2 linked regions of the Drosophila melanogaster genome follow. The protein of the gene in region 1 purifies or fractionates together with the protein of each later gene. This does not show direct contact. Each region holds a gene or a part of one and is shown in the gene's direction. Other genes may lie near its edges.

Region 1 (4,965 bases):
ATTTCGTTAACGTGACAAAAATACATTGATTACATTTTTTTTAGCTGCACTCGACTCGGGGATCTGCGTTTTTGGGCTCTAGGAGCTAGGAGCTGGGATCTGGTAACTGGGAGCTGGAAAACTGGGTACTGGGTACTGGGAACTGGGACCTGGGCGCACGTCCGCACACTTGGCACATTTGTCAGGGCGACGCCGCGATGTAAACATCTTGCACGTAGGATCCGGGGTCCTTTTGCATCCTGGCTGGATGGCACGACAACTAGTTGTAGTTGGAATCGGAGTCCTCGTGCTGCACGGGGTCTTTGAACTGACAAATTACATTGACAACGAATGGGGCGAAATTCCATTCGTGTGCACTCTGAACTCCAACTCCTCTAGCTCCCCAGAACTGTCTCATTTTGTGAGGCTCCACACTGAAAAGTTTGGGGGTCAATGCCATGGCATTTCATATAAACAAAAAGTTAGGCATAACTGTCAGCAAGCAAATAAAATAAACAAATGTCAATAAATGACAATTGATTGTGCTTTTCAAAGTTTTCGGCCCAAACCATTATTAGTCAAATCAGATTGTCTATTTAGTTTACATTGTGTTAATGATTTAAAACTCTCGGTTTGGACACGATTTATTTGTATAGCCATTTGAAAATGGCATTTATTGTCATTTTTTTTTTTTATTGCTACGCGTTGTTAAAATTTCTTGAAAGGTGTCAATAGCAAACAGATGTTAAACGAGATACAGTATTGAATATTGGTTTTATTCTATGAATTTCGATCCTTCATAAGCGAAACATTGTTTTCATTTGTTAGTTTCAGTGCACTTTGTTCATTAGTTGTTTGTGGATTTAATTTGCTTACTTGGCTCTGTGCTTTTGCTTATTGTTTCAGTTAGTTTCGCAATTTGGAAACTATCTCAAATTGGCAATAGTGAAAAGAGCAAACACATCGTGGGCTCCTCTTAATTATTTTCACCGACGAACGGGTGGGCGATCGAACTCTTATGGCTGTAATAATTGGTGCAAAATTGTTCAATTGCCTAATTGCTGTCGATTGCTCATAATTTTTAGTGTAACACTGTGTATTTGTGGCACATTTTCGTTTTATGGCCACGAGCGTTCATGAATGAATGGGCTTTATTTACAGGGCATTTAAAAGTTTCGGGTAATCTTATCACCCAGAAGTGTTCAAACTTGCGCAAGTCATCAAACAAATTTCGAAACGGAAATACCAAAGGGTTGAAATAGTCTAAACGAAAAGATAACTGCCTTAAAATTGCGCCCAAAATTCGCACAAAATCGCAGTAACAATAACAAGCGAACCTAATCAAAAATCCAAAATCTCAGGCAGCTGCGCATGCGTAGCAGATGAAAGAGATAGCGAGAGATCGCACCTTTGAAAATGCTACCGGAACAGCTGGCGCAGAAGAGCGAGAGGGAAGACAGGAGTGAGTGATAAGAAATAGCAACAAAAGCGCATAAACCACCACCAACTACTACAACAACGAACGCGACAAAGCGAACAATGCTCTTCATTATGCCCGTTATTATTAAACAAATAGGGAGAGCGAAAGAGAGAAAGGTGAGAGCGCACCATGTTGATAACACACCCCGTGTAGCTAAAAGTTAGCCAGATTCACAATTAAAGGAGCTAGAAATGCTGATATATGCTCAATTTGATTTATGATCACCTATAAAAACTTGATACTGATAATAGCAGCTAATAATACTTTAATTTTCAGTACCTTAAGACACATAATTCAAAGTATGCACTCAATTAAAACATTGTATTAGATATCCTTAGCTAGAAAGTAGTCAAGCTGCCAGCACTGCCTACCTTACTCACCCAGGTAATTTGACTCCGACTCTCCGGCTTACTGCTCTCCCACCCCGGGAATTAGAAGTCTGAGTCGAAGTCGCCAACTGTAGCCGCTCATTCGATTCCCAGCAGTCGAAGCACGCAGACGCAACCGCTGCGATCGTCGCGAGATATTTGTGTTCGATCATTGTTTTCGTATCGTTCGGGTTAACCACGTTCGTTGAGTGTCGTGTCGACTTGTGTTTACCGTTGTGCAGTGTTAAACTATTTACGCTTTGTCTTGTGGGTGCAGCACCCCCACCACCCAGCCACCCACTACACATACGCACTGTCAAGTTTTGTGGTGCCCAAAAGTAATCAAATGACACGTGCTTGAAATACACATTTTACTATCCATCAGTGGCGGCCGAAACAACAACAAAAGCATAAGCCAAACTTGGGATTACCTCGGCATTGTTTATACAGGAAAGCGGTAAGTTTTGGCCACAATAAACCGTAAAGCACATTCGGAATGCTTTGACCCCAATAAGCTTAACAATAAACACAAATATTCAATACGATTCCGCATACGCCCCTCGTAATTACACATGCCTTAATTCACATAATCACAAACTACAGACATATGTATATATTTATGTACCTCCGCCCATTTATTGAAGTAAATTCCGATGGTTTTTATTTTTGCTCATTCGAGGACCTCGCTAAGCCGCGTTTTATGACTCAGGAGCCTCACAAAGTCAAAGTCGTCAGACCGCAAACTGATTTCGTTCGCTTTTCTCCGAATGTTCTTTATAACGTAGATCCCACAAATGAGTCATCCGTGCGCTTGGGGATACCGGAGTGGATACATAACTGCCTGAGATACGTATGTATCGTATAATTGGGGGAGGCAGTGGGCTAAGGTGACTGATCAGGTTGATGGGGAATGAATGAGCTGGGGGTGCTGGTGACTAAGCCCCCAGCATTGGATAACGCTAATTGGGTTGGGTAAAGAAATGTGTGCACACAGATGTGATAGTCTGCTGGCTAGGAAAGAGTCACCTCTAAGGCAGTTGTGAATGGGTTACATTGAATAACATTCCAGTCAGTCCTCAAAAATATCCAGTTATGTAGCTTGAAATAAAAAACATTTCTAAAAGAAGATTTTTAAGTTTCTTTGAATGTTTTGGTTGGTCTCTTACATTTTAATCAGCTTATGCATTTGAAGAAGTTGGCTTTCGCCACCTCGAATACTTGTTATCTCGACTCATCTGGAAACCTCAGAATATATCAGTGGCACGATTTCAATCTCACCGCATTGTGGTGTTTCGCAGATTTCCCTAATTTCAGTTTGCCCGCGCCTAATTGCAATAATCAAGGGAGCACCGCATAATCTCACTGATCTAGTTCCAGTTTAAGAGCGTTTCTGCGGTCTCGATGGCTCCATTAGAGTGCTAAACACCGGCCATTACGGCGGTCATCAGGAGAGGTGTTATTACCTGGACGTCTGGACGTGGAAACCAGTCGGCACTGGAAGTCACTCACCTGTTGCGGCCAAGAGATCGATATCATTGACAATTGGTGTCGACGGTAGCAGCAGTGGTATATAATGCCAGTTCGATATGTTGCTACCGTTAGATGGGAAATGCCAAAGCAATGATGATTGTCCATTTGAGTGGGATTAACGTTTAATTTGGCTTAGTTTATTGATTTTCCATCGAACAGGTCGGTTAAATGTCAGGGAATGTCGCGAAATGGAACATTTCGTCGATTGCATTTGCTAAACCATTTGCAACTCTTTGTTTTTTGCTCACTCATGTGTCAGTTTGACATTTTGCAACAATGGTCGATTCTATTGAACGGATTATGGCTGCCGCGACTTGAATAATTGCACGGTTTTAATGCGTTCATTCAGTTTTTTACATAATTAAATGATTGTTTAAAACTGATTTATTATTTAATTGTTTGCCACTCGAACGACAACAATTAATTATGCAATGGCGCAAAGATGCGATATAAATAAATAATAATTTCATTATAATCAATGCAACAGCTGCCAGTGGGCGCAAGTGATGCGCGGAAGGGGCGTGGCAAGCAATTAAAATTTATTACTCTTATTTTGCATTTATTCCATTTTAATTTGTCGTTTAAATGTCAAAACTATTAAAATAATTATGCTGGATGCCGGATTAATCAATGCTCTGGCCTTTGTCCAATCGATTTTGATCTGGTTGGGCCGTAACTTTTGGTTAATTAATCGGGGTTACGAGCGGGGAAATTTACCCCATCCACCCCATTCAACTTTCCCCCATTTCACCTTGTGTCCAATTTGTGCGGCTGACCCCAATGAGCCAAGTTCAGTTAACACTTAACCACCCCGCATATTAACTTAATTATCATGATTAACATTTTCTGTGTAATTTCTGTATTTTCGCTGGCCGTTCTCAGTTGAATTTTGCGATGCAATTCCCATTATTCGTACCTTTTAAACTGACCAGAACTTAAATTTGTTATTCAACACGCTTCCCTCGCTTTTTTTCTGTTTTTTTTTTTCTTGATTTGTTTATTATGAAATGCTTTCGATAACGAACCATTATCATATCTTCATGCGATATGGCAAAGAGTTCCGTTGATTTCTTTCTGTTTTCGCAGATTGAAGTGCATAAATTATTTTGTCTCTATTTTTAAATTAATTGGCAGATTGTCGCAGACTTTAGAATTCTATTTGGTCGCAAACTTGTTTGGCGACAACTCTATTAGGCATTTGCATATGAATTTCGACTGCCTTTTGTGCCTAATTAGCCGGCAAAAGTACAACGAACTTCGAAAATTGTCTTATTTTCTTAGTCACGAATTTAATGTACAATACATCAATTTCTACACTATGCAACACACCCAATTAAGTGCAATTTGTGACTTTGTGAGCCTCATTAACTCATCGCATCTCAGCTCAGCTATTTCTCCTCGTGGAAACCGGATTGTTAGCTAAACATTTTTTACATTACTTTGCCTTTGCCTACTAATGAGCAGAATTACTCATGACTGGCCCATGTAGATATAAATATCGATTGAGGGGCTGTTTTTCAATCAATTTAAACGGCGTGCCGTGGCAGGGGGAGGTGGTAATGAGACAAACGAACCACAGAAAAATTCAGTGGTCAAGGGCAGAGGGTC
Region 2 (7,587 bases), on another chromosome or scaffold:
ATGTGGCAGCGTGCGCCGCATTTGCAGGCAGTAAGTGCGACAGAGATGGAATGAGAGCGACCACCCACAGTGCAGCATCACTGTATTTCTCTCTCGCTCGCACGCGCAGCGAAAACCGCATAAATCCATATTTCTCTAGCTTGTGCTTTTTACGATAAATTACAGAGGTTGCAGGGTGTTCGGTAGCGCACAAATGATCATTCATTCACAAGACAGCAGATACCCCCGCATGCCCCCTAATTCCTCACCGTCCCTCTCCCCGCCACTCCTACGCCCCTCTGCAAATGCCGCACTTTTCGTGTAAACATGTGTAAATCATGACCCGTTGATGGCCTTTATATTCATGGTAGAGCAAGAGGAGGGGTGGTGGATGTAGGGGGGTGGGGGTGTTTCTTGAGGAGGGGAGGGGGATGGTGGCCACATGTGACGTCCTCCGGCGGCGGCAAAACTTTTGCACTGCGACCCCATCCTCATCCTCATTCTCATTCTCATCTTTATCCGCATCCTCGTCTTCCTGCCTTCGCATCGCTTTGTTTAGATAAATTAGCTGCGGAAAGACCAGCCCCCCCCCCCCCCCCCCGTCACGTTCCATACCACAAAATTCACAAAATAGTTTCTTTTAATATCATCGATTTGGAAAAAAACAGAGGAGCTTCTATAAGTGGAATTATGCTAATGAAATTTTGAAATATTAATATTATTGCATTAATAAAGTTATTATTAATTATATGATCATTGCATATGCATGATTCTCTAAAAATAAGTTTAAAAAAAATGAAATTAAATATTACTAAAAATATAAGCTCAATAAAATATAAGCTCAGTTTAAATAAAAAGATTAACAGTGCAAACGAAAGTAATTTCTTTAGTTCTCATATGTTTTGTTATTTAAGAATTGACGTATTTATGTTATTTTTTAAAAAGTTCTGTTCTTCGAATTGACTTTAAATGATTCTAAATATTGTCAGTTTGTTAGAAAGGAGCTCCACTGTACCTGCGTCGCATGCAACTGCAGACATTTGGGATTCAAATCGAGAATGGAATGGAATTGTCCCAAAATAAAGGCAAATATTATTTATGCCAGGGCCCTGAGAACTTTTTCTCCAACGGCCTGCGTGCACATTGCATTGGTGTTGATGAGGGGGGAGTGGCGGGGCATGCATTTCAGAACAACATCATATTTTCGGCTATGTTTATTTACACTTAAAGCGCTATAACAACAAACTGAAATGCAAAGGGCAAGTTGGGCATAATGCATGTATGGCTCACGACTGAACAGCGGAAACAGGATCATATGAGTGGCATTCAAGCATAAAGTTTACAAAGTTGCGATAATTAAAATGCGTGTATATCAATTAAATTAATTTGAAATTTACCGCCCAAAAGTGACGTCACAGTTGCCTACAAGAAGATGCTAGCCAAGTCACACACCCCGCGAGTACTGCCAGACTGCAGCTAGCAGAGTACCACACCCGGCAGCGTTGCCACACAAACGATCGTGTGCAATGCACTAACGCCAGTGAGCAAGCGATCTGTGAACTTCGGCAAACAGTCACACCAATCCGACGCGAAGTGAATCATATTGCGCACAGCAAAATCAGCGGATAAGCAAATTAAAGCGACAAAAGAATATTAAATCGGCTCTGCCGCTGCAGCAAGAAGCGTGAAAACAGCAATGCAATCGGGCTAATCTCCAAAAAAAACCCAAAAACGTTTCAAGCCAGTGTGTGTGCGTGTGTTTGTGTGTGTGTGCTTGCGTGCGCTGCGCATGTGTGGTGTGTTTGTGTGAAAAGGAAGAGAGGTGGAAACGCACACAAAAAACGAAAAGAAAAAAAGTGTACAGCCGACGACGCGCAGACGCATCTCGAAATTGTTGGAAAAATCGCGTGTGAGAAGAGTGCGCGAAGTGAGAAAGGAGCAACAAATCGCTAAAGACATATTTCGAAGATGGGTTGTGCCGTGAGTACAGCACGCGATAAGGAGGCCATCGAGCGGTCGAAGAACATCGATCGCGCCCTGCGGGCGGAGGGCGAGCGGGCCGCCTCGGAGGTGAAACTGCTGCTGCTGGGTGCGTTCGCCTTCCATTTCACCTTTTCACCTCTCTAGCATTATTCCGGTATTTCCCCCCTTTGCGAATTCTTTGCTGAAATTCGCGTTGTGACCTCATTTTTTTTTCCATTCGCTCGCTTTGCTTGGGCGGGGTGGGTATCCGCTGGGTGCCGTTGCTTTGCGCTTTCGGCTGTGGTGAGTTGGGGCAAGGATTTTTGCCGGCTTTTCCAGTGCGAAAGGGTCTGGAAAAGGCTGGAAGGCATGGGATGAAACAATACAGTAGAGTTACAGTATAACGAATTAGTAAGACTAAAATTAGAAAAATGTAATTTATTTGTTTTTAAGATCACTCGTTATTATAAGACCATGTTATTCTAGCTAACAGTTTAACATAAAAGTCTAAAGTCCCCAACTATCCCATATTTCGACTATAAATATGCATGGAATGGAGTAAGTAGACTCCATGCAGCTCTGTTTATCTGGGAAAACCAATGTTTATGTGGCTGCTTGGGGCTAAACAAATCCGTCTGTTCGTAGATCGTGCATTATGCAATGTCTGTGTCCAATAATTCGTTGGCGATAAGGGAATTGAACGTAAATTGAAACCAAATGTCGGTTTGACTGTGCGGATACACTCGATTCTAGATTCTCGGTACTCAGTGCTCGTTTCTCATCTGCTGGCACGCACTTTTCAGATCTTTTGGATCGATGCAACAAGTGGATCGAATCGGATCCCATTGCCGCAATGGAAACATGTTTGTTGATAGCGCAGCGGTTTCCACTTTGCAGGAAAAACCATTCAAGCGACGAGGCGCCATCGTATCGCATATACAAACATACATGCATACATACATACATACATATATGATGTATGTATGGTTTTTGGTGACCCGACCTCTGCGGCAAATGCAGTGAAACTGAATGCCTCGCTGCGTTGCAACCTTCTGCAATTAAATTTCCACTCGCCGATTTATATGCACGGCATATGGGAACGATGATATATTTCACCGTCTGCGTGTGTACTTTTCATTTCATTGCCATTCATTTGCGAAAAACAATGCCGTGGAAGTTTTCCTCCAGCGCGGCTGATTGGCCAATGAATCGGGCCAAGATGACTAAGGCAACGAGTGGTAGGCTGGAAAGTACAGCAAAGACTGGCTATGCAACCTACACCTTTATTAAGTGAACTGATATATAGGGTTTACTGTACTAAATTAATTCATAATGTCAAATGTTATCATTTCAAAAGGATTTTTCTAAAAAAAAAAATGATGCACATTAGTAAATGATTTTTTTGGAACCTAGAACATAGTGTAGTTTTCATTTACACTGTAAAACATTTATCGAGCTTATCAGCAGCCACCGCACCTTGCACTATATTTGTTTGTGAGTAACCACTGTATTTGCAGGCTTAAAGATAATAAGGAAAACTGTTTGCCTCAATGAAAAACCTCGTAAACCGGTTTGGAAAATGCCCGCTAAAAGGTGCAGGAAAATTCTACCATTTTCATCCCCATTAAAAGATATCCCCTATTATCATTCAGTATCCCAGCTGTTTTCGTCCAAACCCCCGGTTGACCAGTGTAAATGCTTCTGGTTTACATAGCCAAGAAAACAGCTTGCACCAGTTGCATTTTGAAATTTAGCCCAACATTTTACACTTGATTCAATTGTTTGCACCTTGTGGGGCGTGTGTTCTGTAATTTCTGGATCATGATGAAAACCGATCTCTGATCTCCGATCTCCGAGCTGCTGCAGCTTTCCTCCGACTTCCAGCTGAGTAATTGGCTGTTTTTGTTGCTGCTTCGTTGTTTGTTCGCTGACATTTCAAGTGGGGTGAACGATATTAGCGCAAATAAATGGGCCCGCCATCAAATGCAACTGTCGCGGCTACACGGAAAGAAAAAGAAGAATGTACTAGTTTGCTAAAAAAAATATCTTTAAAAAATATAGTTTTCAAATTATGCAGTAAAGACATTGCTTATAATTTAGTATAAATATATATATTATTCATTGAATTTATTGGTAATTTCTACCAGTGTACAGCGACTACTTACTTGAATTGGAATCGGAATTGGCAGCCCCCAACGCTGCGCTTATTGAGTAGATTTAATAAAGCTGCTCAGCTGACACTCAATTTATATTACACTCTGCTGCCTCTCCCCTTTTCCTTACCCCCCCCCCTTTCCGCAAGCCTTTCAATTGAAAAGCACAACTTTTTCAACCGTTTTTCAACCAAACATATTGTGCTTAAGGGCAAAGATAGTGAATTACTGCATTATTTTGATGATATTTGCAAGGAAAGAGCAGCAAACCGAAGAGAGAAAACGAATTCCAATGGGGGGGGCATGAGTAAGAACTCGGATATCTGTAAAAAAAAAAAAAAAAAAAAAAATATGAAAAAAATGGGAAGAAAATAATATATAAACAAAATAGTGTCATGCTGCTGGCGCACCAATATCAAAATCGGCACTCAGACTGTCAACACACAGCAACTTAATAATCTACAATTATTTAAGAACTCGCTTACCAACACATTTAAACTGAAAGTATCATTGGGCTTATCAAAATTATCGCCAAGCGAGCGACCTTATACATATGTACGTCAATATACTATATGTGGTTAAATAATTGATGTACATATGTATGTACATCACATATAGGAAATTTCATGATAATCGAGAGATCTGCGTGAAAGTCACTACTAGGTGGGGGGCTTCCGTTTTGGGGCCGCATTTCATCTGATTTAATTGTTTACTTTTTCGGTGGGTCCGCTCAATTTCACACTCCCCGCTGATTAACACATTTCCCACTTCGATAACTGAGGCCAGGCGCCATTTAACTTGATTACTCATGGCGCAAACACTTTCTTACGATTCTCCTCCTCTTGCTGTCTACAGCTATTGTTCTTTCTTCTCCCCTCTTTTTTAAATCATCGCATGGCGTAGCCTTAGTCACCCTGTTTCCAATGAATATTCTAATTTCGATAAGTAATTATCTAACGAATTGGTTGGTGCAGTAAAAACTGCATGTCTTCCTTAAATTTCCTATCTAGCTAAATAGTGATTTTTTAATCATTTATGACAAATTGAACAAATATTTGAATGTTGTTTACAATTTCAAATTCTAATAAATATAATAAAAAGTTTTTTTAGCAACTTCTAACAACTATAAAATATATCAATAGAAGCTAGAATTCCTGCATTCCCCGCCGATTCTTTTTTCGCCGATATTCACTGTTTAATGATGTTAATTATAATACCGTTTGGTTGTGGCCATCGCGATGATAATGAGCTTGTAAACGCGGCTTTGTGCGTATCGCCGTTGTTCTGAGCCCGTCTCGCTCCAGCCCTATTGTTGGCCTCTCGCTCGCACCCGCAGTCGGCCGGGCGCGTGTTATGGCACAGCTAACGGTGCATTGATAAATGAAGGCCCAGCCACACCAACACACACGCACACACTCTTTCGCATTTTGTTAGTAGTGTTATTATTAAATTGACCTTTTTCCAGCCGCTCATTTGTGGATTGCTTTGTTCGCTACTTTTTTCCACACGGTGGCAAGTTTGAACATCGCCTTATGTCCATATTCGTATTCAAATCTGTCAATTTCATCATTATGCGGCGACCGTTGTTTGCCCATTATCAGCATTCAGCAGGCGTCTCTTTCGCTCCAACACTTTTTGGTGGCAAAATTAGTTAGCATTGTTCGGAATTGGTTAAAATTGAAGTCTTAACAATAACTCAAAAAAATTTATAAAACAAATTTAATGTAATATATATTGACAGTGAATGTAACAGTGGCCATTTAGTGTAATATATATTAACAGTAGGTGTAACAGTGGCCAGCACATTACAATTAGAGTGGACCCTATTCTAACACATTATGGTACCTAAAACTATAGGCTGAATTTCTTAATCTTCATAAATGTACGTAACATATGTATTAAACTTACCAATCTTCATTGAATGAGCACCATCCGCCCCAAGGGAACTTCAACCATGGCTGATTGATATACGTACGAATAGTAAAAACAATTAAAGTTTCAGTGCAAGTATCGAAGCCCTGAAAGTTGAGAAAAGTGAAAGTAAAGTCGCAGTTTTGGCTTTGGCAATTACCTAATCATCCGGTGGCTGGGAATGGACCCAACTACCAACTGCAGCAAAAAGTCGGCTTAATGCGCCATTGTTGCAATGCCCCAACATCGTGTATATATGTTTATATATAGCTATAGATATTCGAAATTACTTGGACCGGCAGATTTGCCAATTTTTGTATTTGCCCATTTGCTCTGCGATTTCAACTTCTTTAGTTTTCAGCGAAAAGGGAAACTGGCGAGCACGTAATGCGATTATGTTTCATATTTTTTTTTTTATCATTCGACGCAGCAGATAATATACATAGTACTACATATATAATAAACTGCCCAGACGAGCCCGTGTGTTTGTTGTTTATCAACGCTGACGGGTCAGGTCTCATTTAACAATTGAAGGCACTCGGCGAATAAAATTATGCCCAGTTAATTTTCTCCGCAATTTCCAACGCCTTTGATAACTAATGGGTGGGTGGTTCAACGAACTCCAGGGCTCGGCCATGCAAGTTAATAAATTATAATAAATTACAGAGTAGTACGCTTAGAAAATGCATATATCTATTTGGATTATCTTTAGCATGATGATGTGCATATAACTTGATCTGTTATCACAATATTATTGACCCTTATTTGGTGTTCATTTGATTCGTATTGAAATCCGACATGCTATATTAAATGACCATATACACGATGTTCATTCATTTCTCAACTAGACCAGCGCAATTAAGCGTGACCTCTTGAGTCGCGCAATTGAGCAACTTTTCTCGATCGTCTCATTCATAAATTCCACTTCCGTTCCCCTTGGCAAACTTAAAAGCCCCTTCCCGAAACCGAACTCATCGATTCATTCATTCAGTTTTACGCCCTGAACTTGGTGCATACAAATATTGAGCTCACACTTCCTTGGAATGATTCTTTATAAACTTTGATAGTACACCTTAACTAATAAACTCTGTTGAATTTCTTTTGTAGGAGCCGGAGAGTCGGGCAAGTCAACGATTGTGAAACAGATGAAGATCATCCATGACACGGGCTACTCGCAGGAGGAATGCGAGGAGTATCGTCGCGTCGTCTTCAGCAACACGGTGCAGAGTCTAATGGTGATCATCCGCGCAATGGGACGCCTGAAGATCGAGTTTGCCGATCCGAGCCGAACGGACATTGCCCGCCAGTTCTTCACACACGCCTCTGCCGCCGACGAGGGCATCCTGCTGCCCGAGATCGTGCTCCTGATGAAGAAACTCTGGGCAGACGGTGGCGTACAGCAGAGCTTCGCCCGATCGCGCGAATATCAGTTGAATGACTCGGCGGGATACTATCTAAATTCGCTGGATAGGATCGCGCAACCGAACTACATACCCACGCAGCAGGATGTGCTACGCACGCGGGTGAAGACCACTGGCATCATCGAGACACACTTCTCCTGCAAGCAGCTGCACTTCAAGTG

What was found. Proteins that work in one complex are often made in the same cells at the same time.
Region 2: the proteins of insc (region 1) and Galphai purify together in Drosophila melanogaster (affinity purification with western blotting; 2 studies listed by BioGRID, with this or other methods). This does not show direct contact.

The regions. Positions count from the first base shown.
Region 1 is NT_033778.4:20,832,989-20,837,953, reverse strand, and holds the start of insc (inscuteable), read left to right. Parts: upstream 1-1,925; 5' UTR 1,926-2,284; intron 2,285-4,965.
Region 2 is NT_037436.4:6,973,999-6,981,585, reverse strand, and holds the start of Galphai (G protein alpha subunit i), read left to right. Parts: upstream 1-1,541; 5' UTR 1,542-1,947; coding exon 1,948-2,068; intron 2,069-2,363; exon of another isoform or gene 2,364-3,939; intron 3,940-4,106; exon of another isoform or gene 4,107-4,417; intron 4,418-4,579; exon of another isoform or gene 4,580-5,264; intron 5,265-7,112; coding exon 7,113-7,584; intron 7,585-7,587. UniProt on the Drosophila melanogaster protein: Guanine nucleotide-binding proteins (G proteins) are involved as modulators or transducers in various transmembrane signaling systems.